7 linked regions of the Cricetulus griseus genome follow. The protein of the gene in region 3 interacts with the protein of the main gene of each other region in a pairwise test. Links are inferred from orthologs where the notes say so. Each region holds a gene or a part of one and is shown on either strand. Other genes may lie near its edges. The genes, in order: Ap2b1; Zbtb43; Ap1m1; Tgoln2; keratin, type I cytoskeletal 40; Entr1; Mtf1.

Region 1 (4,109 bases), on a different chromosome or scaffold from region 3:
AAGGAGGAATGGGTTTGGACTAGATCTAAACACATTATATGCATATATGAACATTAAATATTTAATTAAAAATGAGAAGAGGTGACAGTGACAGAACCTTAATGTAACTCTGACTTTCACCTCCCAATATATACCTATTTTTAAATAAAACACCACCAGCACTTGCCAGATAGACACTGCCAGATTTTCCAAATATATGATGTGAAAACTATGCCTATATTAGAAACCACAGAAAAATAGCCAGGATAGAGCTGGAGAAAAATACAACTTGCCTAGTTCAAAACTCAAAATCCTACTAGAATAAACTTTTTATTTTTCAGGAAATCCCTAGAAATAAGCAAGCCACAATGGAATTTGAACTCATCCGACTTCATACAACATCAAACCTAAAAAGTCACTGATTTATGGGGTGGCCTAGGAACTCTGTTAAAGAACAAAGCAGCCACCAGGCAAAGCACATAATACCTGCATTTGTCCTAGCTCACAGTGTGATGCCACGTCTTTCACAGGCCATCCTGTACAAGGAAGGTTATAGATCTAGATTAACATAACCTAGTTTCTGCCAAATATAGGTTGTCCAAGTCCCTCCCTCCTCCCCTTCCCCCAATTCCCCAAAAGAGAAATGCAACACTGAAATAAGATTAGTAGGCTGAGTTGAATAAGGTCAGAAAAAAGTTAATAAGGTGGTCTTAATTTCAAATGGTTCTCTGGGAAGTGGCAACTAACACTATCGTCGGACATGCCACTATGCCCTTCTTTACACATAAAGTCAGTAACTAGACAAAGTTCTGCGAACTTCGAGCAGAAGAGTCATTCCAGCAACCTTCACTTACAAGGTTGAGACAGGTGTAAAGATCCTATCTGGTCAAATGTTCAATAGCACAAGGCCAACAGTAGCTTCAGATTGTTACCTTATCAGAAATAAAATATTTAAAAGCCAAATTCACCCCCAGCTTCTTTCAATAACTATAAGATAATTCACTATTATAGTATTATACATAAAGAAAGAAGCCCAACAATCTCACACCCAATTGTTAAGAAATGCCAAGGCATTTTAGGAAACTTAAGCCAAGGAGGAAAGAAAAAGGGGAATGGTGTCTTCTCCGAATATTCGTTGTCTAATTTGGGTCAAACATGTGCCTTAAGATATAATAGTTACTGGGCGGTGGTGGCCCAGAACTCAGGAGGCAGAGGCAGGCGGATCTCTCTGAGTTTGAGGCCAGCCTGGTCTACAAGAGGGAGTTCCAGGGCAGCCTCCAAAGCCACAGAGAAAACCTGCCTCGAAAAAAAAAAAAAAAAAAAAAAAGATATAATAGTTGAAAATTACGATCTTTTACAGAAAGGAAGTAAGGGAACTTCTTTAAGCCTTAATTCCTCAAAATATTTGCTTTATATTAATTAAGTTTACCATCTAACTTTAGGGGGACTTTTTGCAGAACGCGCTCCCCTTTATTTCTCGGGGGGGGGGGGGTTGCCCTGTAAGACACCTGAGATCAGTTCTCATTTCACATCTCACTTAGTCATCCCTGGGATGCATTACCCTCTGCTGCACCTCCTTCACTGGCTGCTTTCTATTATTACTTTGTAAGTGCACCCTAAGGCTAAGCAGAACCACACTAGGAAAGCAATGAATAATTTAAACTGGTCCTCACTGAGAGCGCTCTCTCAGTCAACTTGCCTTTCTGAGCTTATTGTGTGTTCTTTGTCTTTTAAACCACAATGGCTGCAGAAGTGTTTGGCAATTTAAAAACACTCTCCCTTCTGAAAGTTAAAAAAAAGAAAAATTCAACGAAGCATCCAGGACACATTCACGCTGCTTCGTAATAAAACAAATAGCCAGAGCCTTATAAGAGCTTTCCCCCAGAGGGCTGCTCAGAAAGCTAATACATGCTGTGGATTCAAAGAATAAAGAAATAGCAGGAAATTCCAGGTTTTTTTCACTTCTAGTAGAATTTACAGCCTTGCTCAAACTACACTGCTCCTGATAACCCCAGGGAAGAAAGAGGGGGAGAAAAAAACAACCCCGGGCTAAGATTTGCTTTCATTGGCTTCCCCCTCTCACGCAAGAGGTCAATTTTGCAGGTTTCTCCTTTCTTCCTCGAAGTACATTTGGTCCCCTTTTCTCTTTACCCACTCCCCCGGGTCAAGACCCTGGAGATCTGGTCAGTTTTCACCAAGCAGGGAGAGAAGACTTTAAACCCCAAATACGGGTGACATGAGAGGTCTCAATGGCCAAACCGTCGGGGGGGGGAATCCTTTCTCCCTCTGCTTGCTGGACACGTCCAGTGCAGGCTTCTCAATGAACAGTCGCCAAACGGGAAAGCTGGGTGGTTCTCCCTCGGCCTCCAGGCTCTAGCGGCCACACCCCTGGCCTCAGTCCTTTCCGAGCCGGTCTTGGGAACCCGCTGGGCTCCGAAGCCCCCAACTACCCGCTGCTACACCCGAGCTCAGCCCTATCCCGCCACGGCCCCCACGGAGGAGGCACTTTTTCCAAGCTTCCCCCTCACAACGGTCACACCCGAGGACTCCCTCCATCCTCAACCGTCACGCTCCTCGGATCTCCTTTCCTCCCGCGCCTAAGACCCGGCTTGGGGTTGCCCTCCCTCACAACCACCCCCAGTCACTCAGGGACACACCCCAAAGCCAGCCGCCTTGAACTCACCGGAGGCAAGGGCGGGGTGGCGGCGGTAGCGGGAGAGCACAGCCCGGGTGGTGGTGTAATGGTTTCCTGCCCGTCACGATTCTTTCTAGATCTAAGCCACTGCGCAAAACCCAATCTGCCAGGGACAAAGATGGTGGGCCGGAAGCTTTGGCGTAAGAGAGAATCTCGTCGCGTGACGTCATCCGGGTGCGCGGGAGACCCAAACAACCAGGCTGTGTCTCTGTTGCCTCGGCAACGGAAAGGTTTCCCTTTCTCTGGGTCAGGACAGTGCCTATAGACCAAGGGACCCACCCGCAGTGGCTTTCCCAAAGGATATGTTAAATAAGTGGATATTCTCGGGACTTATTTCCGTGAACAAGAATTTTGTAAAACCTGTGTGAGATACCTTATTTTCTGAAACACAAACTTCAGCTAATTTGCCTGTCAGATTCAGAAGACCGTACAGGTGATAGAAATCAGGACTGATCCACATACATGAGCAGTGGAACTAGGAGACAGCGACTCAATGAGGCTAAGAAGCATTCAGATCTGAGTTCGAATCCCTACATTGGATATGACTAGGAAGACTTAATCAATAAGTGCCCCATCTCGCGCCACCCGGCACACACTCAATCTTGTCGAGCCACCTAACACACACTCTTAATCTTGTTGGGGCTTAAGTCGTACAAGGTAGCTTCAGAAACAGAAGAAAAAAGTATCAGGCGATGAAGTTCAGGCTAGTCTACAACAGGAGCCCCTCTTGCTTGTGCCTCTAGCGTGCTGGGACTCACCTGTTTTGAACTTTTGTGTCTATACATTAGAGGTTCTTCTGCCCAGCTGCTTTCTGGCTTTTCTCACTCCACCATTGAACAAGTATTTATTAGGGGCTACTATCTCTCAGGAATTGATATAGAGATCCAACTTTTTTTTTTCCTAACAACCCTAGTTGTCCTGGAGCAGGCTGGCCTGGAACTCACAGAGATCCACCAGCCTCTGCCTCATGGCAAGACTCGGAAGGAAAAGGCCCGCAGATCTCTGAGTTCGAAGCAAGCTTGGTCTACAGAGTGAGTTCCAGAACAACCAGGGCTACACAGAAAATGCCTGTCTCAACCAAAAAATGAAAAAAAGAAAAACAAAAATAGAGGGCAACTTCAACCAATTACAAAATTGCAATCAGGTTAGTTTGTTAGGGTGCACTGTGAAGATGAAGTGTGGTTCAAGAAAGAAGGCACTCCAAGATGATATTTTAAGGCCTATGTGGGAGCAGGAAGGTCCAGCCTCTCAGGTTAGTTTGTTAGGGTGCACTGTGAAGATGAAGTGTGGTTCAAGAAAGAAGGTACTCCAAGATGATATTTTAAGGCCTATGTGGGAGCAGGAAGGTCCAGCCTCTCTGATAGACTGAACCCCAAACAGCAGTACAAAGGTGTATTTATTGAAAGTTATACAAAGTACTTCCTGGTACAAAGAT
Region 2 (3,500 bases), on a different chromosome or scaffold from region 3:
AAAACAAAACAAAACAAAATAACCCCTACACCTACACTTATAATAAAGTTTTAAATACAAAGTGCTTTTATATACCAAGATTGATACAGTGTTCATAAATAGATGCCTGTTTTGCAATCTTGATCACAAGCATTTACTGGCTAGTCCCTATTTTCTTTCCCCTTCCCAAACAAAGGTCAAAGGTGAACTCTTGGTGTCAGAAGTCTTATGATCAGAAGCCCTTGCCAGAAATGTCAGAGAAAGACAAACTTTAAAAACAAAATTTCACCCCAAATCCAAGAAAGAGAATTTTTATTTTAAGGAAATAAAAAGTTTCTACTTAGCAGTAACAGACTGTGTGTGGAAAGTGACATAGGAGCGACACCCTGTCCCATTGTCCGGCTAGAGCTAACAATGTGACACAGCCTAGAGTCATCTGAGAAGGGAGTCTAAAATCAGGGACTGCTCAAATCAGACTGGCCTGTGAGCATGTCTGTGGCTGATAGTCTTGACTGTGGATATTCAAGTTCCTGCTGTGATTTCCCCCAGAATGGACTGTGACACGGTAGTGTAAGCTGAATAAACCAAACTCCCTGAGCTACTGTTGGTCAGAATATGTTATCCCAGGGAAGAAAAGCAGACAGACACCCATCCCAGGAAGAGCCTCAGGCCTGTCATGTGCTTAAAGCCTTTCTGAATACACAAGACTTCTTTCCAACCTAAAACATACACTCCAGGGAGACCAGGTCTTGAAGGGTGGGTGTAAACTACTGGGACTTGTAAATGTGTGCTGTGCAGCTTTCTCTGTGACTGAGGAACAGGAATCTGTAGATGACGTTGCTTAATGCAGGACTCCTTTCACACTTGGAACGCATATTCCAGGTCTCATAAGGAGCTGACAGTATTGCTCAGTGTCCCTCTAAAACACCTACACCAGTGTATTTTTGAGACCTTTCTCAAGTATAGCCTTTTGTTTTTATAAGTTACTGCCTCTGATGAGTATGGGAGTGTCCCACTCACAGGTAACTCTTAGTCATGCATTCTGGCTAGGTTCCATGAGCTGTGGTCCCTGGCTGACCCTTGTTGGGAAGCACCATGATCTAAGGCAGTAGGGCCACAGGACACTGCCAGTACTGTGATAAGTCACTGCAGGTTGGATATCTAGTTCAGACTGTTACCATTAAATGGAGGGAAGCTTAGGGTAACAAATCGACTAGAAACACCTACCTCTGGCACCCACAGACTTTAAAGGAGACACAATGGTTCAAACCCAATTAAAACTAAACACAAAACCGTGCTTTGTCAAGAGTCTGAAGCAGCCAGGCGGTGGTGGCGCACACTTTTAATCCCAGCACTTGGGAAGCAGAGGCAGGTAGATCTCTGTGAGTTCGAGGCCAGCCTCCAAAGCTACAGAGAAACCCTGTCTCGAAAAACAAAACAAAACAAAACAAAAAGAAGTCTGAAGCACTATAACAGGAGCCAAGTTTTGGACTCATGTCTATTGAACATTGCCAGTTTCAGCTAGAACTTTAGAAAACATGAAACTAGACATGAAAGAGCTCAGTTCACAACTCAGCCCACGAGTCAGGCTGCTGCAGCCTTGAGGGGAGTAGCATCCAGTGATGCGCTAACAAAGCAAAGCCCCAGAACCTCTGCATCCACCAGGGGAAAATAAAATGCAACAGGACTTCAGGGCACTGTGTGATAGACAACTGCTACCACCTGAGTGAACTGGTGGGTTAGTCTGCCACCAAGTCCACCGCGGCAGTCACTGCTGGCTGGAAGGGCTATCTTGCCAGTTGGGCACTGGGTGAACTTATCCCCATCATCCATTCTAGGCCAGGACCAGAACATACAAATTTGAGGAATTAAATTTTTTAATTGGCCTACTTAGAGCTGGTCTTTCAGAAATATCTTCTTTTTTTTTTTTCTTTTTAAGCTTCTCTCATAATAGCAAGTGGCACGCATCATCTGTGCCCAGATTTGCATTAATTACCATAGTTTATTTTTGTGCATGCCACTCAAGGGCCAGACCCTATTTTTAGTTAGCCTCAGTTGTAGTCTGCTCAGCCTTTGCAGCTTCATAGGACTTGGTACAAGAAGTCACATGCCTGTGGAAACTGTCCCTCCACATAAATCTCTTTGCACAGATATTACACTCATAGGGCTTGATGCCTGTATGAATTTTCATGTGGCCCACGAGATGGTGCTTCATTTTGAATTTCTTACCGCAGACCCCACAGCCATAAGGGCGAAGACCGAGGTGCATGCTCATGTGTCGATCTCGCTGACTCTTGTGTGTGAAACTTTTCCCACACTGACAAGGATACAGCTTGTCAGTGGCGGAGAACCCTAAGTGGGACGCCTCTTCTTTTATCCCCGTCACCATTTCAATATTCTCACTGTAGCCTGCTGCGAGGGCAGCCTCCTGTCTGTGCCCAATTAGATTCCCATCCAACCTTTCTCCAGAGAATTCTTCCATGGAGGAGCCATAGAAGTCCACCTGCTCGTCATAGTTGCTCTCCTCTGCTTGCTCATCAAACTCTGCTTCTACTTTCTTCTCCACAATTTGGAAGTCCTCTTCCACTCCTGAAGGCTGGACCAAGTGTTCTGTCTGCATGGTGTTAATGGACTCAGTGACTTGGTGCTCGTCGTAGGCTGCATGCACATCCATGCCCTCACACGTCTGTTCCAGGCGCTCAGGCTTCACATGGATCCAGCGTTTGTGAGCCATTATGCTGGGCTTGCTGTACAGAGGCCGGGTGTAGTGGAACTCCGCGCTGTCACTGGCCCCCTCCTCCCCATCCTGGCTCGCCATCTCAGTGCTCAGCCGGTCATGCTCTGTGGATGAGTTACTGGGCAAGTACTCATGCTCAGTGAGCTGAGATGACAGCTCATCTTTGGTGCTCTCCTCTTCATTCTCACCATCCCTCAGCTCCTGTGCCTTGGGGAAATCAGTGTGCCCCCCGGAACCCAGCTCAAAGCTCTCTACCAGGCCATTATAGTTACTGCTACTGGGAGACTGGTGGTCATTGCCATGATTTAGCTTCTGGCAAAGAACTGTGGGGTTTCCCTCTAGAACCTCAGTGCATTTGTCCACCACATGCCACATCTGGAGGAAGCTGGCTGCTGTTAAGTAACTAACAATTTCTGGAGCAGGCATCACAAGGCGTCCTGTGTAGCTAGATAGGAGAATGTTCTCAAATACTCTTGGGTTCATCACATCAGGCAACACAATTCTCCTACTGTTTTTCAGGAGTACTTGGTCACAAAAGTAGGGTGAACTGGCAGCAAGAACAGCTTTGTGTGCCCGGAAAATGTGGCCTTGGACAACAATGGAGACGTCACATAACTGTCCTTGTTGGCGCTGCTGGTTTAGTTTCTGCAGAATGGTGCTGGAAAAATCTGGAAACTCTACTCGAAAAGAGTTCGTTCCAGGCTCCATTTCATCACCAATCTTGTTTAGTGCTGCAAGAGAAAGAAAAGTTAGTGCTAACTCCATCCTCAAAGCAGCCCAGCAT
Region 3 (4,025 bases):
GCATGGGTACCACCTGCCTCAGAACCTGTCACTTCAGAAAACATTCTGTCTCTGTTGCTTTCAGCTGGGACAGTGTAGCAAAAGTGGTTCCTTTCTTTCCTAAGCGCTTAGGCCTTGTAGGGGACATAGCACCCACTGGGTAAACTTCTGAGTCTGATGTTGGGCCGAGGGACTGCCCTTTGCCTGCTCTGATTCCTGTTTTACAGATAGAGACTACAGTGCCCAGAGAGGCAGACTTAGACTACACAGGTCCTTGTGAGTAACAGGGGGCAGCCTGGGGTTTTGCCTTCAGTGCCCAGAAGGACAGCATCAAGAAGAAGGAGGGGAAACCAGCACCCCAGACCTAGGGTCACCAGGGCCACACTGCCAAGCAGGGAAGCTGAGGGGCAGCTGTGGGAGAATAGAGAGCAGCCAAGCATTCTTGGAGGACCTCCTGCTTGCCAAAGGTGGCCACAGTAACCAGCAAGTCAGCCTGGCACAGTGTCATAAGGTTGTCTTGATTTTGGAATGAGGCAGGGAGCTCTACAGCCTCTCTGAGGAACTTTCTAGAGGCAGGTCTGCTTACATACCATCATGGGACCTCCTTCCTGGAACTGCAGTGCCCTGGGGCCTCCTCCCATTGGTGCCCTAAAGTGCCACCACTAGTCTGTGGGCTGCCTTATACCACGCATGACAACTTGGATACCTGTCACCTCCTCAGAACCATCTCAGGTGCCCAGCTCTGCCTGGAAGTCTTTTGTAATTTTCTCTGACTGCCAAAGAGAAGGCAAGCAACCTAACTGTTAGGCCTGTGGAGCCTAAATTCCATGCTCTTTGTGCCTTGTGCAGGGCCAGGCCTGAATCACACCTACAATAACCCAGATAAGATTCTTTGGACCAGCCGGGAAGGCAAAGCTCAGAGATGCCATGGGAGGTATCTATGGCCACACACCTCAGCTGTAAAGATGGGCTGAACCTACACGTGAGTCTAGTTCTACAGCTTGAGTCCAGGATGGATCACCTGCTAAGCACCACTGAGGTGTTTGCTAAAGGAACAGGCAAGCCATGACAGACAGCCCATGTACCTCTAGGCCAGGGCAAAAGGCAGAGCATGTGCCATAAGGCCTAGAGAACACTGTGCCTACTCAGGTTCCCAGAAGGCTGTGGAGGAAGCCCAGATTGGGGACTCACCAGCTGTTGACCTTGGGTGGCATCCAAGGCAGGCACACATTCTAGGGACTGAGGAAGAGGCTGGAGCTAGGGCACACCTCCTCTTCACTTCTGGACACCTCTAGCTCTTCCATGTGGGCTGGACACCAGTGTTCTTTGTTTACTGTGGCTGGACCTGTTCTGGTAGCTTCCAAATATAAAAGGCTGGCCACCTGCCTTCTACCTTGATGGATTGAGGGATAGTGATAGCCCATTTCTGAAGGCTGATCATATATTCCAGTAAGAGGTTTTTGCATTGGGCTTACTGTGGTTCCCTGGCAGAGCGCTCATTGAACAGACTTGAGACACTTGGGGTTATTGCCTCTGCATCACAAAACCACAAATTAGCCATATCCAGATACCATGTAAAAGAGCCATGTACATGCCAGACGGTGGTGGTGTACACCTTTAATTCCAGCACGCCTGAGGCAGAGGCAGGCCTATCTGAGGTCAAGGCCAGTCTGGTCTACAGAGTGTGCTCAGCGACGCCTGAGCTACACAGAGAAACCTTGTCTTATAAAACCAAGGGGTGCTTCTGGGAAATACAGACAGGCAGATCCATGTAGTTTAAAGGCCAGGCAGCCTCGCTGAATCAGTCCAGCGACTGAGTGTGATAACAAGAGCCCATGTAAGGGTAGCAGGGTCTCCTTCCTCCACACACATGTGCAAACCCACACAAACACACACAGATGAAGTTTTCTTTCTCAGACACCCCTGGGGAAGATGCCTGGACCCTGATTCCTTCCAGGGCCTTCATGTCTCAGTCAGGAAAGCTTTCTGTCCCCCAGCTGGGGCTGCTAGTCCGTTATGAACACACGGTCCCAACAGTCATTCATGTATCTGTGCTTTTCCATGTGCTGAGAGCCATGACAGATTCTGCCCACCCGTGGGGCCCAGGGCTTAGCACCCTGCCTGGCTTCTCTGAAAACATAAGCTGAAAGCAAGGATGCTTGAGGTGGGACTTCCAGATGGCTACTTCCCAGTCATCAGTGTGACTCTAGGCAAGCAAGTCTGTTTCCCCTCAGCAAGACGGCATTCCTATCACTCGCCTCTCTGAACCCAATGTCACAGGAAGCGCAGCTGCTCTCGGGAGAAAGCGGAGCAAGGGGCCGACCTGAGGACACAGTCCCCGCCACGCCTCCGGCCAAGGGTCGCGCGATCCCGGGGCGCGGGTCCTCAGCTTCCGGACCCGGCGGGAGAGGGGCAAAGCCGACGGTCACCTAGCAACCACAGCCCACCCAGTAAGCTAAGGAGGGGGCGGGACTCTCAAAGACCACCGGCCGTTTCCTAGCAACAGGACAGGGTCCGCAAGTGAGGCTGCCCCGCCTGCCCAACGCCCTGGCAGGGTTGGACGGCCAGTTACCTAGCAACAGGGTGGGTCCCGGCAGGGCGAGGCCCCGCTGTTGCCTGGCAACGCGGAGGGTGGAGAGCCCTTCAATACCTTGCCTTTCAGGTCCAGTACGTAGACGGCGCTGGCGGACATGGCGTCTTTGGAAGGCCTCGGCAATAGCCGAGGGCGGCGGCAACGGCAGGAACTGCCGGCGTTCAGCAAGGCCCGGCGCGCCCCGCGACACTTCCCTTCCACTTCCGGTCCATGGAGCAGCGCGCGGACCGTTATGTCCGGTCTGAGGGGCAAGCCGCGAGTGCGCACATGCGCAGCAACATAGGTGCAGGCGCAGTACGAACTTTGTGGCAGTATTTTTCATCCACTGCTGAAGAGGGCCGGAAGTAAGTCCCGGAGGGCGGACCCTCCCTAGTGGGCGTGGCCTGAGGGGCCTGGGCGGGGCCATCGGGCTGTGGCTGGCTGACTGGAGGTGGAAGCCGGGTGAACGCTTTCAAACCCGCTGCTGTGGGTTTGAAAGCGGAACCGATTTGGGTCAGCCTTGCATTCGACAGCAGTCTAGTAAACCAATATCCCGTCACCAGCTGTGATTCGCTGTCAGGTGGCGATTAAAGGAAGTCAGTCTCTGAATGGCAATCAAAACTTATCAGTAATCGCCTCTGTCAACTTATCAGTGGCTGCCCCACCCCAGTTTGCCCAGTGAACCCAGGGGACTAGACTAGCACGTGTGTTATTTAGACATCGTGCCTAGTGCAAAGTGTGGCTGATTTTCTTTTAATTCTGTCATTCTTTTTTAAGATTTTTAAAAATTTATTATGTATACAGTGTTCTGCCTGCTGGCCAGAAGAGGGTACCAGATCTTATTACAGATGGTTGTGAGCCACCATGTAGTTGCTGGGGGTTGAACTCAGGACTGCTCTGAACCTCCGAGCCATCTCTCCAGCCCTAATTCTGTCATTCTTAACCGTCCTGGGAGACCAGCCAACACCTCAGCACCCGCCCCTTTGTTTTTCTTTCTTTCTTGTAGTTGCTTTGTGTGTGTTCCAGTACACACAGGGAGGTCAGTTTTCTCCTTTTCACTATGTGGGTCCCAGAGATCAGGTTATCAGTTTCCGCAGCAGGCGTCTTTACTTGCAGCCCCCCCCCCATTCCTTTTTCAGTTTTTTGGGCAGGAGAAGTATTCACTCCTAATGGCCGAGACCTCTCTCTGTTCCCAGCAGGCACATATGATGCTTCACAACTGCCTATAACTCCAGTTCCAGGTGATCTGATGCCTCTGTGGACAGCTGCACTCATGCACACACACCTGAATATGGACTTTTTACAAAGTACTAAGTTTTAGTGAGGCATAGTAGTGTGTGCCTTCAATCCCAGCACTTGGAAGCAGAGGCAGGCAGATCTGTGTGTTCCAGGTCAGCCAGTAAGATGCAGTTTAAAAAATTTTAATTTATCCTTTGTCAGTTTCATAATGTATACATTTTATATTTTGAACATA
Region 4 (4,210 bases), on a different chromosome or scaffold from region 3:
GAAGCAAATTCATTTCCTTCTGGTTCTCGAGCAGTGGTTCGTTCCTACCTCAGGGAGAAAGTGCCTTCCTTTCTCCCTCCCCGTCTTTCCTCTGCTTCCTTTCCAGTCTACCTCGGAAGCATATTGGTACTGCTTTCCAATCGCATCTCCAGTTTGACCACCTCCCATCATGCTCTCTGGGCCTGTGCACAACTTGGGACTGTTGCAAGAGTCTCCTGATCCCTTTCCCCTACTACCCAAGTCAATTCTTTGTGATACCAGCCAAGTAATGGCCAAACATTCTCCACTCTGATTACAACTTGCCCCTACTTAAACCTCTTCAGTGTCCAAGAGCTCTGTGTGAGCAGACCTTTTTTCCTCCCCTACCTAGTAATGTGGACACCAGGTCAGGTTTAATCATTTGCCACTACCCTCCCCACCCACCCACACCCTCACTAAGCCAATATCCTTAAATGTTAGTCAAACATTTATCTTAAAGCAGGCAGACAGAATTTTCTTTTAGAAAAAGTTTCCTTTACCAGTTCACTTCCTCTAGCCAAGGCAGAGTCAACATTCTAAAGATTTTTTTTTTTTTTTTTTTTTTTGAGTTTTGGAGACGGAACCCAGGGCTTCTCACATGTCAGGCAAGCAGCACTTTACCACTGAGCTATCGTCCAGCTCCTGAAATAATCTGGTAGACTTCTCATCAGATTTTTATTCTTTCTTCAGTAATGTAAGAGGGGAGAGGAAAAGGATGGGGAGAAGTGGTGAGGAGCCTGTTAAAGGGATTTTTATTCAAATAACAGAAAAGGCCCTTGTTTCTAAAACTGTAGTTGTGTTATGTACTAGTTCTTGAAATTTTGAAAAATTTCAGCCATCCAGGACTACATATCATATCATATCATATCATATATCATATCTCACATCCAGGCCTCTCACAGAGTGTTACTTTCTTATGGCTATAGTCCTTTTTGGCTGGAGTGGGCCCAGTTTACTTGTCAACCAGAGTTAGCTGACATATTTTCTATTGCATAAAAACTTACATTCTCGTCAACTCCCAGATCACTGGTTTCTCGGTCTGGCTCTGTTCCAACCTCCTTCTCTATCATTATCCTTGTCACACAACAAGCTTGCTCTTTAGGCTTACCCACAACACCAGGTTCACACTGCATGTGCTGCTCACTCTGCCAGGAATCCTCATCCCTCTCTCCTTTCATTAGTCCCCAGAAGTATCTACAACCTTCTGTCCTCAGTCCCATGGTTCATTCCTCAGCTGATACACACTTTTCATATTCTGCTTGGCAGTTCTTGGAATGCTTTCAATCAGTTATTTGTCTGGAGATCATTGCAAACTACTTGACAAATGTAATTTAAAGGTTAACTTTGGCTTACAGTTCCCAGAAATACACAGAGCATCATGGAATGGAAATCATGGCTGTAAGAGCAGGAGGTGGCTGGTCACACTGAATTTGTAGTCAGGAAGCAGAGAGGTATGAATATTCTATGTTGTGCTCAGCTTGGTTTCCATTTTATTCAGTTCAAGACTCGAGCCCATGAGATACTAATGTCCACACACAGGGTGGGTCTTACCACCTCAGTTAACCTTACCTAGATAATCCCTTACAGGAGTGCCCAGAGACTTCTTTCCATGGTGATTCTAAAGCCCATCGAGTTGACAATAAAAATGAACCATTACAGTAAACATGAATAAACATCTATGTGGTAGTTATGTACTTCACCAGATTGCTTACTTTATGAAATTAAAGTTGTATTTATTTATGTACTTTTGCTTTTTTTTTTTTTTTGAGACAGGGTTTCTCTGTGCAACAGCCCTGCATGTTCTGGAACTCACTCTGTAGAACAGGCTGGCCTCAAACACACAAGAGATCCGCCTGACTCTGCCTCCTGAGTGTTGGGATTAAAGGCGTGCACCACCACAACTGGCTATTTATGCACTTGAGTTTCACTTTGTTCTTCAGGCTGGCCTCCAAAATCTGGCAGTTCAAAAGATCCTTTGCCTCTGAGGCTGGAGAGATGGCTCAGAGTTTAAGAGCCCTGGCTGCTCTTCCAGAGGACCCAGGTTCAATCTCTAGCACACACACACAGCAGCTCACAATCATCTCTCAATTCCAGTTCCAAAGGATCCAATTCTCTCTTCTGGCTTCCTTGGGCCCCAAACAGGCACGTGATAAATAGGTATAAATGGAGACAAAACACACATGCACATAAAATAATTTCATAATTTTATTTAAAATAGCTTCTGTCTTAAACCTCCCCAGTTTTGAGGACCATTTAACGTGGCATGGTGGCACGCAACTGTAATCTCGGCAGGGGAAGGAAGACTGATGCTAACTCAAGGTCAACTGCTTTTTGGAGTGAGCTCCAGGTCTGCTATAAGCTGCCTGTCTCAAAACAACAAAAACAAAACGAACATAGTTTTTGGGATTTTTGGTTTGAGCTAGGACCTGCTATTTGTTAAATCATTGTTTACAAAATACCTAAACTGGCAAATGTTCATAAATTATTTCAAGCAACCTGTTTAAACAACCCAGCCCTATCACAGCTGATACAAGAAACAAATGCAAATAATAATCAATAGATGAACAAACAGCAAGAATTTAAAAAATGTATGTTTTGCTTACATGTATGTCTGTACACCATATTCGTACTATGTCTGTGGAGGCCAAAAGAGGGTGTCAAATCTCCTGACACTGGAATTACAGACCTTTGTTAGCTATCTTGTGAGCGCTGGGAATGGAACTCAGGTCCTTCGGAAGAGCAGTTAGTGTTCTTAACCACTAATCCATCATTTCTCTATCCCCTAAAATAGTATTTTCTTGTTTGTTTTTTTAAGACAGGGTTCCTCTATGTAGACTTGGCTAGCTTGAAACTAGACCAGGCTGGTCTCGAACTCAAAGATCCTCCTGCCTCTGCCTCCTGAGTGCTGGAATTGAAGGCATGTACCGCACTGCTGGGCTTCCCTAAAATAAATTTTTATAAGTATTACCTTTTTTTCTGCTTTCTTGTTTGAATTATTAAGAATATATTGCTGCCAGGCAGTGTTGATACACGTCTTCAAAGGACACCGCGCATAGGTGGTACACACAAAATAAATCTTTGATACCTTATGTCTTAAATAAATAAATAGCCCCAGAAGGGGGCGTGGCGAGACGCATGCAATCCTAAGCACTCGGGAGGCACGAGCTTGACGCTAGCCCGTCCGCAGAGTAATGCAGTATCAAATACAAACAAATTCAGAAAAAGGGGAAAAAAAATTCCGTGGTAAATTCAGAGGGCCCTAGATACCGTCAAGAAAGAGATTCCGACCAGGAACGAAAGTGATGAAGTGTTTGTTTCTAGACGGGAAAGCCCCGAGCAGAGTACGTTTTGGTGTGGAGTGAGAAAAGCACCACCAGCAACGGAGATGTCAGAGGAACCGGCGGACGACGCGGCGAAGCGGCTCCCGGCCCCGCGACCCCATATCATGAGCCTCGAGGGGCGACGCAGCGCCAGCCGCGCAGAACAACTCCCAGAGCACGAGGACACGTGCACAGGGAAGAGGCGGTTGAGCTCGTCAGGGTGCTGAGAAAAAGAGGAAGAGCGGGTCCTCACGTGCGCTGCACACTACCGGAATACTCAGCCGCTGACAGCCCGCACCCGTTAGCCCCGCCCCCGGGGCGGGGCTGCGCCGGAAGAGGAACAGCCCGCCGGAAAGGGAGTGGCCACAGGCTCGAAGTCCCTCGCGCCGCTCTCACGTCAGCAGAAGAGGGCGGAAGTGCAGACTACAGGATGCGGTTCCTAGTTGCGTTGCTCCTAAGTGTCGCAGTGGCGAGTAAGACCCCCCAGCCCCCGCCCCATCCCACCCTCTCCCTCAGGTTCTCTCGTCTTCACCTTGGCGGGTTACCACCGGAGCTGGCGTCCTCCTTTCCTGGCCCGACCCTCGGGCCATCTCCACCCTTCTCTCATTCGGCCATCACCGCTGGCATCTTCCAGCGCTGAGAAGCCAAGCCCCCTTCTCTTCTCCCAGCTTTTTCTTCCGAGGGCTTAACTGCTTTTTCTATTTCAGGTGTTACGCCGCATGAATCTAACCCACTCATCACCTCAGGTAACGATAATTCTCCGATTCAGTCTTCTAAAGAAAAACTCTCCAACCAGAGCCCCATGTCTCCTGAGAAGGAAGTGGAGTCTAAGCCGGGAGAGCCCGGCGGGCAGACGGATCAGAAGCAGCAGC
Region 5 (4,238 bases), on a different chromosome or scaffold from region 3:
AACAGGGAAGAGTTAGACAATAAATTTATAAAATTCTTGAGAAATGCTAAGGTATCTGTAATTGTCAGCTGTTACTACCATCAAAATATGCAAAGAATACATTTTTGTTTTACTTTATTATGTAACTCTGCATTTCATTCTTAAGCTTATAATAGAAACAAGATTATAAATGTACAATATCTAAAAAATATTACTCCTAATATTGCATGACTATTTATTCCTTTTTTGGAAGTGGATACAGCTCTATTTTCTTGTTGTACAGTAGAGCTACAGAAATAGCCATTAGTGGAGTTAATTCTTCACCCAAGCAATGGCAGGAGGGAGAGTGGCCTCACCCTGGCACTTGGGGCGGGTGATGTTATGCAACAATACACACTGTATGTCACATCTACCTTGAGAGACACTGGGATGCTCAAACCACACAGTGGGCCTGCCTCTGGTTTTGTTCCAGCTTAGTCAGTGTCTGCCCTGGTTCAGTTTATACCCATGAAATCTCTCGGTAGAACTCTCCCTATAGTCCTTGGCACAGTGGCCACTTCACTTACCTCTTCGTGGCTTTTCTTAAGGCAAAGGAGATCACTTTTCAGGGACTCCACGTGGGCCTCCAGATCTGACTTGCACAGGGTCAGTTCACCCAGGATCCCACGAAGGCCACCGATGTCATTCTCCACCAGCTGGCGAAGAGACAGTTCACTCTCATACCTTTCACAGCAAGAGAAAGAAAAGGGAGTGTGTTACTTGGCTAAACACTGACCAAAGTGCCGGGGTACAAGGATGAGTGACATGTGGCCTCCAGGGAGACACATGTCACAATTCCCCGGGTATCCCAAATGATGGTGAATTCAAGTTTCAAACATTCTAAATTAAAAAAAAAAGATCTCATGCAGAGAATTCTCTATCACTGGAGGCCATTATTATTTTCAAATTAAATTTAAGATTTAGAATGCAATTTGTATACATAAAATACAATGTGGTTTAAAAAATAAATACAATTTGACTTACTTTGACCTAAAATCATCAGCAGCCAGTTTGCAGTTGTCCACCTGTACGGCAAGTCTAGAATTCTCTGCCTTCGTGCACAGTATCTAAGAGGCAAGTCATTATGTAATCAACAGCTCTTTGGAAGAAACCCACATTTCTGTTTTAACAGTCTGCCATTCATTAGCTTAACAAAATTAGCATAACATAATTTTCAGCCTATAACTATACCATGGAGAAAAAAGGAGACATGCAGTGCCAATTTAGAAACAAAATACAGACATAAAAATAGGTTCTCTTTCTAAAAAAAGATTTTATCTTTTTTCCAATTGTGTGTGAGAGTGTGTATGTATTTGATCTCTCTCTCTCTCTCTCTCTCTCTCTCTCTCTCTCTCTCTCTCTCTCTCTGACTCTGTGTGTGTGTGTGTGTAGACTTGTTCTTTGCCTTAGGATGCCAGAAGAGAGTGTCAGGTCCTCGGGAGATGAACTTATAGGTGGTTGTGAACTGCCATATATGGGTATTGGGAACTGAACTCAGGTTGCTCATGAGCGCTACAGTGCTGCTATCCACTGCTGAGTCATTTCTGCATCTCAAGGTTTCCTTTATAAGTGACACAAGGCAGGACATTTGGCAGTCATCATTGACAGCTGAGCTTTGTTAGTTTTCTCCACTGCTAATATTTATTAGAGTTGCATCTCTGTCTGTGGTCATAGAAATTCATCAATGAAAAAAGAAAGAAGGCTTTGTCAGTAGAGCATTTGCAATACAAGTAGGAGGACCCAGGTTCAAACCGTAGAACTCATGTATAGAAAGCTAAGTATAGCAGTGTGTGCCTGTTACCCCTGCAAGGGGAGACAGAGACAGCAGTATCCCTGGGACTCTCTGGCCAGCCACCCAGTGAGTCAAATCAGTGAGCCCCAGGTCCCTTGAGAGACTCTGTCTCAAAACACAAGGCGGGGAGTGGAAGACGCTTGCCATTGACCTCAGGCCTCATTGACAGCATGTATTCCCTCTCTACATGCACACGAAAGGAAAATGATTACCAGGTGAACTAAAAGAGATGGCATTTGATGTCTGTTTGATAAGGAATATAAATAAGTAATGATACATGCAGAACAGATTTTAGATATCATAATTCAGATTCCCCCTCTCTGTAGATGACATAGTCTACACACAGACATGACATTTCTATGGTCAATAGTGCTGATACTGAGACAGATTTCTTGCCATCTATGGCCCTCTTTTCCTGGCAGCATACCAGCTCTGGGAATCCCTCCTCCCTGGTTTTACATCCATAAAACAACCCGCGCCACTGTAAATATAAGAGAATTCTGAAACAGGAAACAGAGAACATTAGGGAATGAGACACACAACCTTTTGCTGGAGTTCTTCAATGGTGTCGAAGTAACGCTGATAATCTGGGCACACCAATGGGGCATCGGGCTCGCATTGCTCTCGGATCCTGCATTCGAGCTCCGCATTGTTCTCCTCCAGGCTTCTCACCCTTTCCAGGTAGCTGGCCAGTCTGTCATTCAGGAACTGCATCGTCTCCTTCTCATTGCTGTTGAACGCCCCTTCCTCGCACCATGCACAGCTCCCCACCAGGCACGGACTGTTACAACCGCCAGCGAAGTAGCAGGGTGAGAGGCGACCGGCTGAGAGGTGAGCCCTGCAGAGGAAGCTCGGGGTCTGACATCTGGATGTGGCACAGGTACTGGGCAGGCAAGTTGTATCGGTGGGACAGGGTGAGGCAGCCGCACAGTCCGGAGCCTCTGCACAGGGCTCAGAGGAGCAGCACCCAGGGGAGCCATCAGAAGCCATCTTCTGTGAAGGAATGAACAGACCGGATGCTGTAGTGCCGAGGTCTTGTCTCCAAACATCTCCTTCCCCCCCTGAGACCTTTATATCACCCTTCAAATGGGTGTTTACAGGCCACACCGATGTTTCCTCTAGCACCGCGGGTGCTAGTTTTCCTACAAACATCTCATTAGTGTTGCTTATTTACCGAGGAAGTTTTATGCCTCGTAAAAGGAGGATAAGTTCAGGTTACTAAATCAGGACGACTGTCATTTCCACGTGTTGCTTGGATAAAATCCTTATTTTAGCGAATAGCCATAGGAAACATTATCCCGTTGAAAGAATAAGGAACCCAAGAGAAAATCTGAGCCATTGGTAATCATAGGTAGAGCTCATTAGAGATACAGAAAGTAATATTTCCATAGGTTTTGATTTTGAAAATCGATTGCTCTTGTCTACTTTAAAAGTGGACACCACAGCTCATTAAATTGCATGTATTTGTTTGTGCTACCAGCCACCACAATGATAGTTAGCAATCGTGAAGGGCATGCATGCCTGCGTGTGTGCGTGCGTGCGTGCGTGCGTGCGTGTGGTGTGTGTGTGTGTGTGTGTGTGTGTGTGTGTGTGTCCTTGAAGCCTGTGCTTACATGGTAAAGAGAAAGGTGTATATACTGAGTGTAAAGCACGTGAGATCATTTTATACAACAATGAGAATAAGTTGTGTCCTGTGAGCCAAGACAGAAAGTGGTTGTCAAGATCTGAATTGTGGTCTTTGGTTATCTCAAACATTCTATCGCTAGCCAAACAGTGATCATGACCACCCCTGCTTAGTTTTTGAGATTGGATATGCTCAGAGTGGATGGTCATACACATAAGCTTTGCCTTCTCGTATTTCCATGTTAGATTCCTTATGCTACTTTTAAAAAGCTGTTATCATTCATTTATTTTGGTGTTGAGGCTCAGACATAAGGTATTGTGTTATTCTTTTGTTTAAAAAGAAGAAAAGAGAAATATTGAGACAGACATATTGACTTAAGACTATAAGTTTATTATAAGGCCCGGTAGAATGGAATGGGGAGACTAAGAGGGACAGGGTAATGGCTGACCGCCATGGCCGGTCGCCATAGAGAGACAGCGGGGAAACAGAGAGAGGGGACAGAGAGCAGGAACAGGGGGAGAGAGAGAGAGCGCGCGAGCGTAAAGGGGCAGAGAGAGAGAGAGAGAAAGGTGCAGGGGCCTATCTTTTAAAGGGGTCCTCTGCACCTGCGTGCAGACTTCTTTCCCATGGAACCTTGGGCTGACCAGGGTATTGCCTGAGTGGATTCCACCAGGTAACAGGGGCAGGCCAGCATAATGCCTGAACCTTTCATATTGTTCATACTACATATATGATATACCTCAAACTTCAACCCCAGTACCTATATTTGCAAGGACAGTGGAGATATAAGTTGTGGTGAAGGTT
Region 6 (4,054 bases), on a different chromosome or scaffold from region 3:
GACTAATTTAAAAACCTCCCTTCATGTAGTACATTCAGTGGGACATCCCCGCGGAAACACTTCCAGTGGACCATTTATTCATTCTAGTTCATGCCTGCCTGCCTGCCTGCCTGCCTCTGAGCTCACCACAGTACTTCTCAGCCTGCTACACTAACAGCACAACCAACCAAGGGGAGAGTTCTCCATGGAGAAATTCCATTTTCTTTCTCTCTTTCTCTCTCTCTCTCTCTCTCTCTCTCTCTCTCTCTCTCTCTCTCTCTCTCTCTCTCTCTCTCTCTCTCTCTCTTTCAGGACCCAGGACCTCCCACGTGCTAGGAAAAAAACGTTACTACTGAGCTATATCTCTAGGCCCCTCTATGGAGACATTCTGCTGCATTAAACCCAGGCCATCCAAGAAGTGGATGACTGCAGCTTTTCTCGAGAACACTGCTCAGCTGTCTGTGTTCGGTGTCGCACAGCCCTCACTTACTGCTTCATAACTTATCTGCAGCGTCCGAAGGTGTCTGTCTCCCAGGGACTCTCCATGAGCTGCAAAGTCTGTATTAGGACTCCCAGCTGGAGATGCTGGGGAGACCCTTGAGTCAGGGTCACTCATTGTCCATGGGGGCAAAGACTGAGGACCTGCCAGCTCTGATGCATTGGAAAAAAAGGAAAGGTAGGTGCCACAGGGTGATAAATTCTCTGTGGCCCTAGAGGAATGAGTCTGATCCACAGTGGATGGCAAGTAAGCTCCATTCCATCCATCTTCTTCCTCCTCCTCCTCCAGGTTGCTGGGTCTCGTTGGGTCTTCAAAAAACGGCTGCTGATATTCCAGGCCATACCCCACAGGCTGGGGGGCAGGGCTGCTGTGGTCTACTCCCAGTGGGTGCCTCGAGGTTTCCTAAAAACAGTGGAGATAAACACTGTGACCTGCAAGCCCACACTCAGCCTTCTTTATGCTCAGCTTGCACAAAGAAGGCCCATTTCATCTACCAAAAGGAGCCAAGCAGCTGCTCCACCCACAGTTTCTCCAACAGCAGCCACAGCTGTCCTGCTTTGCTCCCCACACTCAAATGTCTGTCTCCAAAGCTGTAAGTTAGAAGAGATGTCATCAAAGGCAACCATTGACAGCTTCCAGATGTACCTTCGGGTAAATTCGACTGTTGCTCGTGTCTTCTTTTGACAGGCTGAGATTCTTGGTTTTCAGAAACTCTTTGAAGGAAAATGGATTGGCTTCTTCAAGGTCTTCAAGTTTGTCACCTGAAATAGCGGACACCACAAAGACTGTTAAAGGGTCCAACAACATCTTGTATTACCATTATATTTCAACTGTGACTCAGAGAATGCTACAAATAAGAAAGCTGCCCAAAAAGGGTGGAGAACAGGTCTGTTTGGCATACTCTCACCCCTTGCCACCTTAAAAAAAAAAAATACAAAAATTAAAAAAAAAAACAACACACTGTGCCAAAGATCAAGTCCAGGGTCCTGAACACATTTGGACAACTGGTATACCACTGAAGCTCCCCAGTGAATCTTGACTCCACACATTCAGTGTGGGCTAATGGTTACTCCTATAGGTGATTGAAAGCTTCTGGGATGCCACAGTGCCCAGAACTACTCCATGCCATTCCTTCCTCTGACCTTTTCTCCAGGTAACCTAGTTGATCAGCCTCTACCTTCCTCCACTCCTACCACACTCCAGTTACTTGTGTGGATCCCTTCCAGGTGCCAGCCTGAGTAAAGTGGGTTCTTGTGACTTGTGTCTTGCTGACTCTGCAGGGCCCTTTGATGATACTCTCCACCTCCCAGGCACCTCTGACATCTTAGGTTATTTTTGCCCTCACACCCAGTCTCCAATCCTTGGGCTTCTACCTCCACTGATTGTTTGGGCTCCAGGCACACCCATTTAAACCCTGTCATTCTGACAGTCCATGGCCTGGCACCGTGTCTGAGGAAGAGGTCAAGAAGAATCACTGAGCTACTCTACCTCCAAAGCGCGTCTCATGGGCTCCCGGCGGACCTTGCTTAGTATATTTCCCCTTTCCATAGCCAAAATCTGCAAAGAGACACTGTCAGCTCACCGTAATCACAGCAAGCCTTATGACTGCAGCATTTGTCCAGGGAGGTGAAGACCGCAGACCGCCTGACTCCCACTGACTGGCCCTAGTCTGGGACTAGGAGGATGGCTCCTAAAGCTGGGTATAGAGTAAACTACACACCAGGGCGCGCTCACAGCGTAGCTGCCGGTGGAACGCAGACCCACTAAATCCAGCCCCTGACCTCTCCCAATCCAGTGGGCTAAAGAGGTCTCCGAGCTCCACCGGGCACTGACCTTCCTGCCTCGGGGCGGGCAGGCGGGCTGTGGGGAGGGCTCCCCGCGCTTCCCAGCTCCGCACTGCGGCCGGCGCCCCTCTCTCACCTGTGTCTCCTACCGAAGCCAGCACCGGGCTGGGCACATAGCACATAAACGTCGGCCGAAAGCCGAAGAAGTGGGGGTGCAGGTCCCCGCCATGGGGGCGCTCACAGTCTAGCTGGGGGAGACAAGACCGGCGCTCATAGAACGCAGGAGCTGTAAGCGACAACGAGAGCGGCTTCACCGCGGGCCACCTCCGCCCGCGACCCCCGGCCCAGCCCCGGCCGCGCGCCGCTTACCGTCGGGAACCACGAGGCTCCGGGTCCTCGATAGTGGGGGCGCGCCCGGCCGCCGCGTGTAGCCCGACATCGCCGCGCCCTAACCCGGCCGTGACCCCATGGCCCACCGCGCCACTGCCAGCTTATGCCCGATCCGGCACGGCCGGCCGGAAGCCAGCGCCGAACGCCACGGGGCGGGGTCGGAAGCGGAAGTGACCGCAGAAGCGCGGCGGCGCGATGGCGACGGCGGTGTGGGCGGCCGCGCGGTTGCTTCGGGGGTCTGCGGTTCGGTGCGCGCGGCCCAGGTAAACTGAGGCGCGTCCTAGCGCGAAGAAATGGGGACTGGGTGGGGAGGGAGGAGCGGACCAGGCACCCTAAGGAACTGGAAGAGGAGAATGGGCCCTGGAGCAGAGCGCAGGCGCGTTGGGCCTGGAGAACGAGCCGGGGACTGGAAGCTAGTTCGAGGGTTTGGTGGAGTCAGCCTGCTGGGGCCTTCCAGACCCAAGGCGGAACTCTTGAGGAACAGGGCTGGCCCAGGGCTTCATATGTGGGAAATGCTTTCTCACACACCCTGCTGTCCAGAGTGGGCAGTGAAGACCCAAAGACCTGGAGCCGGAGAGATGGCTCAGCAGTTAAACGCATTGACTGCTTCTTCTGGGTTTGGTTACCAGCACCCACATGGTGGCTCACAGCATTCATAACTCCACTTCCAGGGGATCCAACACTCTTCTGACCTCCTTGGACACCAGGCATGCACGTGATGGCAAGCTCTCAAACACATAAAATAAGAACAAATATGTTTCTGTTAAAAAGGAACCAAAGGCTTCAGGTAACTTGCCTGAAAGCCTATGGCAGAACCTGGATGTCCATCGCTGTTACACATTCTGTGAGGCCATGGAGTAAATTCTACTGAAGACTTCCCTGTTGACTTCTCATGAACACACATGTGGTGTACATGAGTGGTCACCACTGACTCATGTAACTGGCTGGTTGTTCTGTAGGTTTGGACCTCCTGCACACAGACGGTTCAGCAGTGGTGCCACGTACCCCAACATCCCCCTCTCTTCTCCCTTACCCGGAGTGCCCAAACCTGTCTTTGCTACAGTTGATGGACAGGAAAAGTTTGAAACCAAAGTTACCACGCTGGACAATGGGCTTCGTGTGGCATCTCAAAATAAGTTTGGACAATTCTGTACCGTAGGAAGTAAGTTCTGTTGTCATGCCTAAGGTAGGCTTTCCATTTTGACAGCTGTAATTAGTATGTCCATCATAGACTACTCACAGGGAAAACTTGTTAGTTTTGAAAACTTATCCAAGATTCGAACGATGGCCATATTTGGAGATATTATATAAGGTATGCCTCTGTCCCCATTTTACTTTTCTGTAATTCTAGAAGTTTCCATTATGTATGGGATAGGTAGGATTCCATAAACATTGACTTTTT
Region 7 (3,500 bases), on a different chromosome or scaffold from region 3:
TATCCCATGTCCCCTGTCAGGTCAAGCGGTACCAGTGCACCTTTGAGGGGTGCCCCCGCACCTACAGCACAGCAGGCAACCTGCGTACCCACCAGAAGACTCACCGAGGAGAGTACACCTTCGTCTGTAATCAGGAGGGCTGTGGCAAGGCCTTCCTCACCTCCTACAGCCTCAGGATCCATGTGCGAGTGCACACAAAGGAGAAGCCATTTGAGTGTGATGTGCAGGGCTGTGAGAAGGCGTTCAACACACTGTACAGGTCAGCCTCTCCATGGCTCTGCCAGCCTCCTGACTCTGAGCTTGGGACCACAGAACTCTTCTCCTTGCATATGACAGCTTTTGACACTTTGGAGAGCATAGCTGCACTCAGCTACTTAAAATGCATTATCAGAGCCTACTACTTAAAAACAGGTGTACCATGGGCTGAGGAGATGTGTTGGCACATCTGTGTGTAGGCTTGCATCTCAAGGAGTGACATCGTGGCCTTGGGATTTTTAGTAGTTGGCGTAGTCTTCTGACTGGCACAAGGCTAAGTTGGCACATAGCCTTTGAAATAACTTTCTTCTGTCCTGAGAGATGGGAAGTTGCCCCACTTGATGTCTGTTTTTCCATGTTTGTGTCAGGAGACTTACATAAATCTTCAATATTAGGCATAAAATAACAGACCATACCATTCTGAAAGTGCCTGATCTTGTTTGGTCCTAGAAGCCAAGCAGGTTTGGGCCTGGTTAATACTTGGTGGGAGAAATAATGCTGGCTAACACTGATGTGTACACTGTGCAAGGCACAATTCTAAGTGCTGGCCCCCAGAACAGCTACTAAGTAAACCGAAGTACAGAGCAGTTGTGTAAGGTACCTGGCCAAGAGGTCAGGGCCAGGACTTGAACCCGGAGGGATCTGTCTCTGATTAATGCTCACGCCACTATGCTACTTTCATCTCTGCATTTCTCTCTGGGTGAGGTCAGATGCCAGTGTACTTTGGTAGCGCATTCTGGTGCACTTGGTCCTACTGTGTGTTCGGCTGGCACTGGGAGGCTCGGTGGTACATTCTGCATGACGCATTTCTCTGGGACATTTTGCAGGTTGAAAGCACATCAGAGGCTTCACACAGGGAAAACGTTTAACTGTGAATCTCAAGGCTGCAGCAAGTACTTCACCACACTCAGTGACCTGCGGAAGCACATTCGAACCCATACAGGAGAAAAGCCATTTCGGTAGGTCTTGCTGTTTTCTGTTTGTCACTGACCAGGTCTTAGCTGGGTATCTTGATAGACTCTAGGAAGTTTTCAAAGTAGGAAGAAAGCTGCCTTACCCATTTCTTTTGGTGGTGTTAGCTTCCCACAGGGTAGCAGTGACCGCCTGCTGCAGGTTGGAGGAGTACAAGTGGACTTTTTCCCTGAGTGATAGCTGGCTGTTATGCCTCATTTTTTTTCTGTATTCTTTAAAGGGTGTTTGTTGAAGCTGACTTATATGGTAGATACTTTTCTTTGCACTAGGGAAGTACTGAGATTCTTAATCAAGGGCTGGGGAGGTAACCTGGGCTACAGAGTGAGACCCTGTGTCAACACCCCTTTCCCCTAAACAAAACAAAGCATCCTTAGTTGAGTGGGGAAGAGCCACAAGTTGTAGACAGTGTCTGAGCTATCAGCCAAAGTGGCTTGAGCTTGGAAAAGGGAGACCTACCTGAGAAAGGAGACTTAAAATTGTTTCTGAGCATGCTCACAAGGGAAAGTGAGGGTAGGAGGCTTAGCTCAGTGGTCTGCATGATCGACTCTGTTACTTAGTTGCTGTTGCTTTTAATATCTCATGTTTGTATACGTATAGAGCCACATGCTTTTGTGTAGATATTTCAAAATCCATGTTTTTAAAAAAATTTTAAATTTATTTATATTTTATATACGAGTGCTCTGTATATATATTTCCAGAAGAGGACACTGGATCCTATTACAGACAGCTGTGAGCCACCATGTGGTTGCTGGGAACTGAACTCAGGACCTCTGGAAGAGCAGGCAGTGCTCTTAACTGCCAAGTCATCTCCACAGTCCCCCAAATCCACATTTAAAATTTTAGTTTTAAGTATGTATCTGTGTGAGCACATGTCATATGTGTGCTGATATTCGTAGAGGCCAGAAGCTGGTATCAGATCCCCTGGAGATGGAGCCCTCTATGAGGGCTAAATTTGGGCCCCCTATGAGGCAGCAAATGTTCTTGACCACCGAGCCATCTCCCTAGCTGCATCATCCACAGTAGATAGGTCTGTAACCCTGAGGCGGCTTGTACCCATCCTCTTTTCCTCGGATGGCATTTAACACACGGCGTGGCTCCAGACACTCAGTAAGTGTTCACAAGCAGCCTTGGAAGATTATATGACATTTTAATAAGGTAATCAGTTTGTAAGGACCCCCATAACTGAATTTTAAGTATTGCTAAAGATTTCCCATAAACAATGTTCTTGAATTCTGACACGGGATATTGCTTAAAGTTCTTTCTTTCTTTCTTTCTTTCTTTCTTTCTTTCTTTTTTTTTTTGTTTGTTTTTTTGAGACAGGATTTCTCTGTGTAGCTTTGGAGCCTATCCTGGCATTCCCTCTGGAGACCAGGCTGGCCTGGAACTCACAGAGATCCACCTGCCTCTGCCTCCCGAGTGCTGGGATTAAAGGTGTGTGCCACCAACGCCCAGTGCCACCCTTCCATTTTCAGGTCACTGGTCCTTCTTTGCACACTTGCAGGCAGTTGAAAATTCTCCAGGAGCAGCTAGCTCCAATTAAATGGAATTGAGATTTTAAATTACAGATACATTCCTGAGTCTCAGCCCCATTACGAACAGGAGGTTACAGTCTAATTGGTTACTCTGCAGATATTTAATCACCCCTACCAGGTTGCTAGGAGGACTTTTATTTCTATACAGATATGTGCGTTTATTTTTGTGATGATTAAAACAGTTTTGTTGTGAATATTAGAGGAGACCTAGGTAGATACAGTGATGATTATACGTGACTAAAAACCAAAAGGCTTTAAAGAAACTTTCTATTTAAATAAGTAAGATGTTTAGATATGTAAGAAAACATACATATGTATGTTTTAAGTTGTTGCTATATAACAACTAAAACAATGTAAAGAACTACACAGACCCTGCTTTTGAGAAAATATAAAAAAAAAAAAAATATGCACACATCTGCCATGGTGGTACACACCTTTGTTCTCAGCATGGGGACGTAGAGGCAGGAGATCTCTGAGAGTTCCAAACCAGCCAGGGCTACATAGTGAGACTCTGTCTCAGATAAACATGCTTTCCCCAAATGTACGAAGAGAGGAAATAAGATTGGAAATGAGAGATGCCTTAAAGGAATCATGTGATAAATGTGTTAGTAATCCTGAGGAGGTGAGGATTGTCCTTGGCTTTGATTATCGAGAAAGTATGTGGGGACTAAGAGTATAGCTCACGTAGCACTCATGATGCCCTGGTCTTAAGCTTTACCACTGCATAAACCAGGTATAGTG

What was found.
Region 1: the proteins of Ap1m1 (region 3) and Ap2b1 interact in binary tests that used the Homo sapiens proteins (3 or more experiments, as listed by UniProt). The link is inferred for Cricetulus griseus from reciprocal best matches to the Homo sapiens genes AP1M1 and AP2B1.
Region 2: the proteins of Ap1m1 (region 3) and Zbtb43 interact in binary tests that used the Homo sapiens proteins (3 or more experiments, as listed by UniProt). The two-hybrid records come from large-scale screens. The link is inferred for Cricetulus griseus from reciprocal best matches to the Homo sapiens genes AP1M1 and ZBTB43.
Region 4: the proteins of Ap1m1 (region 3) and Tgoln2 interact in a two-hybrid assay, tested with the Homo sapiens proteins (2 studies listed by BioGRID). The link is inferred for Cricetulus griseus from reciprocal best matches to the Homo sapiens genes AP1M1 and TGOLN2.
Region 5: the proteins of Ap1m1 (region 3) and keratin, type I cytoskeletal 40 interact in binary tests that used the Homo sapiens proteins (3 or more experiments, as listed by UniProt). The two-hybrid records come from large-scale screens. The link is inferred for Cricetulus griseus from reciprocal best matches to the Homo sapiens genes AP1M1 and KRT40.
Region 6: the proteins of Ap1m1 (region 3) and Entr1 interact in binary tests that used the Homo sapiens proteins (3 or more experiments, as listed by UniProt). The two-hybrid records come from large-scale screens. The link is inferred for Cricetulus griseus from reciprocal best matches to the Homo sapiens genes AP1M1 and ENTR1.
Region 7: the proteins of Ap1m1 (region 3) and Mtf1 interact in binary tests that used the Homo sapiens proteins (3 or more experiments, as listed by UniProt). The two-hybrid records come from large-scale screens. The link is inferred for Cricetulus griseus from reciprocal best matches to the Homo sapiens genes AP1M1 and MTF1.

Annotation. Positions count from the first base shown.
Region 1 is NC_048600.1:96,535,848-96,539,956, reverse strand, and holds the start of Ap2b1 (AP-2 complex subunit beta), read right to left. Parts: upstream 2,801-4,109; 5' UTR 2,663-2,800; intron 516-2,662; exon of another isoform or gene 466-515; intron 1-465. UniProt on the Homo sapiens protein: Component of the adaptor protein complex 2 (AP-2). Adaptor protein complexes function in protein transport via transport vesicles in different membrane traffic pathways.
Region 2 is NC_048599.1:145,169,799-145,173,298, forward strand, and holds part of Zbtb43 (zinc finger and BTB domain-containing protein 43), read right to left. Parts: intron 3,448-3,500; 5' UTR 3,425-3,447; coding exon 2,021-3,424; 3' UTR 1-2,020. UniProt on the Homo sapiens protein: May be involved in transcriptional regulation.
Region 3 is NW_023276806.1:246,994,534-246,998,558, reverse strand, and holds the start of Ap1m1 (AP-1 complex subunit mu-1), read right to left. Parts: upstream 2,801-4,025; 5' UTR 2,672-2,800; coding exon 2,630-2,671; intron 1-2,629. UniProt on the Homo sapiens protein: Subunit of clathrin-associated adaptor protein complex 1 that plays a role in protein sorting in the trans-Golgi network (TGN) and endosomes.
Region 4 is NC_048601.1:64,348,727-64,352,936, reverse strand, and holds the start of Tgoln2 (trans-Golgi network integral membrane protein 2), read left to right. Parts: upstream 1-1,410; coding exon 1,411-1,416; intron 1,417-3,339; coding exon 3,340-3,811; intron 3,812-4,045; coding exon 4,046-4,210. UniProt on the Homo sapiens protein: May be involved in regulating membrane traffic to and from trans-Golgi network.
Region 5 is NC_048600.1:113,048,877-113,053,114, reverse strand, and holds the start of keratin, type I cytoskeletal 40, read right to left. Parts: upstream 2,801-4,238; coding exon 2,354-2,800; intron 1,086-2,353; coding exon 1,003-1,085; intron 703-1,002; coding exon 546-702; intron 1-545. UniProt on the Homo sapiens protein: May play a role in late hair differentiation.
Region 6 is NC_048599.1:137,777,235-137,781,288, forward strand, and holds the start of Entr1 (endosome-associated-trafficking regulator 1), read right to left. Parts: upstream 2,801-4,054; 5' UTR 2,702-2,800; coding exon 2,632-2,701; intron 2,549-2,631; coding exon 2,399-2,548; intron 2,036-2,398; coding exon 1,967-2,035; intron 1,240-1,966; coding exon 1,124-1,239; intron 881-1,123; coding exon 470-880; intron 1-469. Other genes in the region: Pmpca (mitochondrial-processing peptidase subunit alpha), read left to right, coding at 2,848-2,915, 3,612-3,814. UniProt on the Homo sapiens protein: Endosome-associated protein that plays a role in membrane receptor sorting, cytokinesis and ciliogenesis. Involved in the endosome-to-plasma membrane trafficking and recycling of SNX27-retromer-dependent cargo proteins, such as GLUT1.
Region 7 is NC_048595.1:28,233,005-28,236,504, reverse strand, and holds part of Mtf1 (metal regulatory transcription factor 1), read left to right. Parts: intron 1-20; coding exon 21-259; intron 260-1,082; coding exon 1,083-1,214; intron 1,215-3,500. UniProt on the Homo sapiens protein: Zinc-dependent transcriptional regulator of cellular adaption to conditions of exposure to heavy metals. Binds to metal responsive elements (MRE) in promoters and activates the transcription of metallothionein genes like metallothionein-2/MT2A.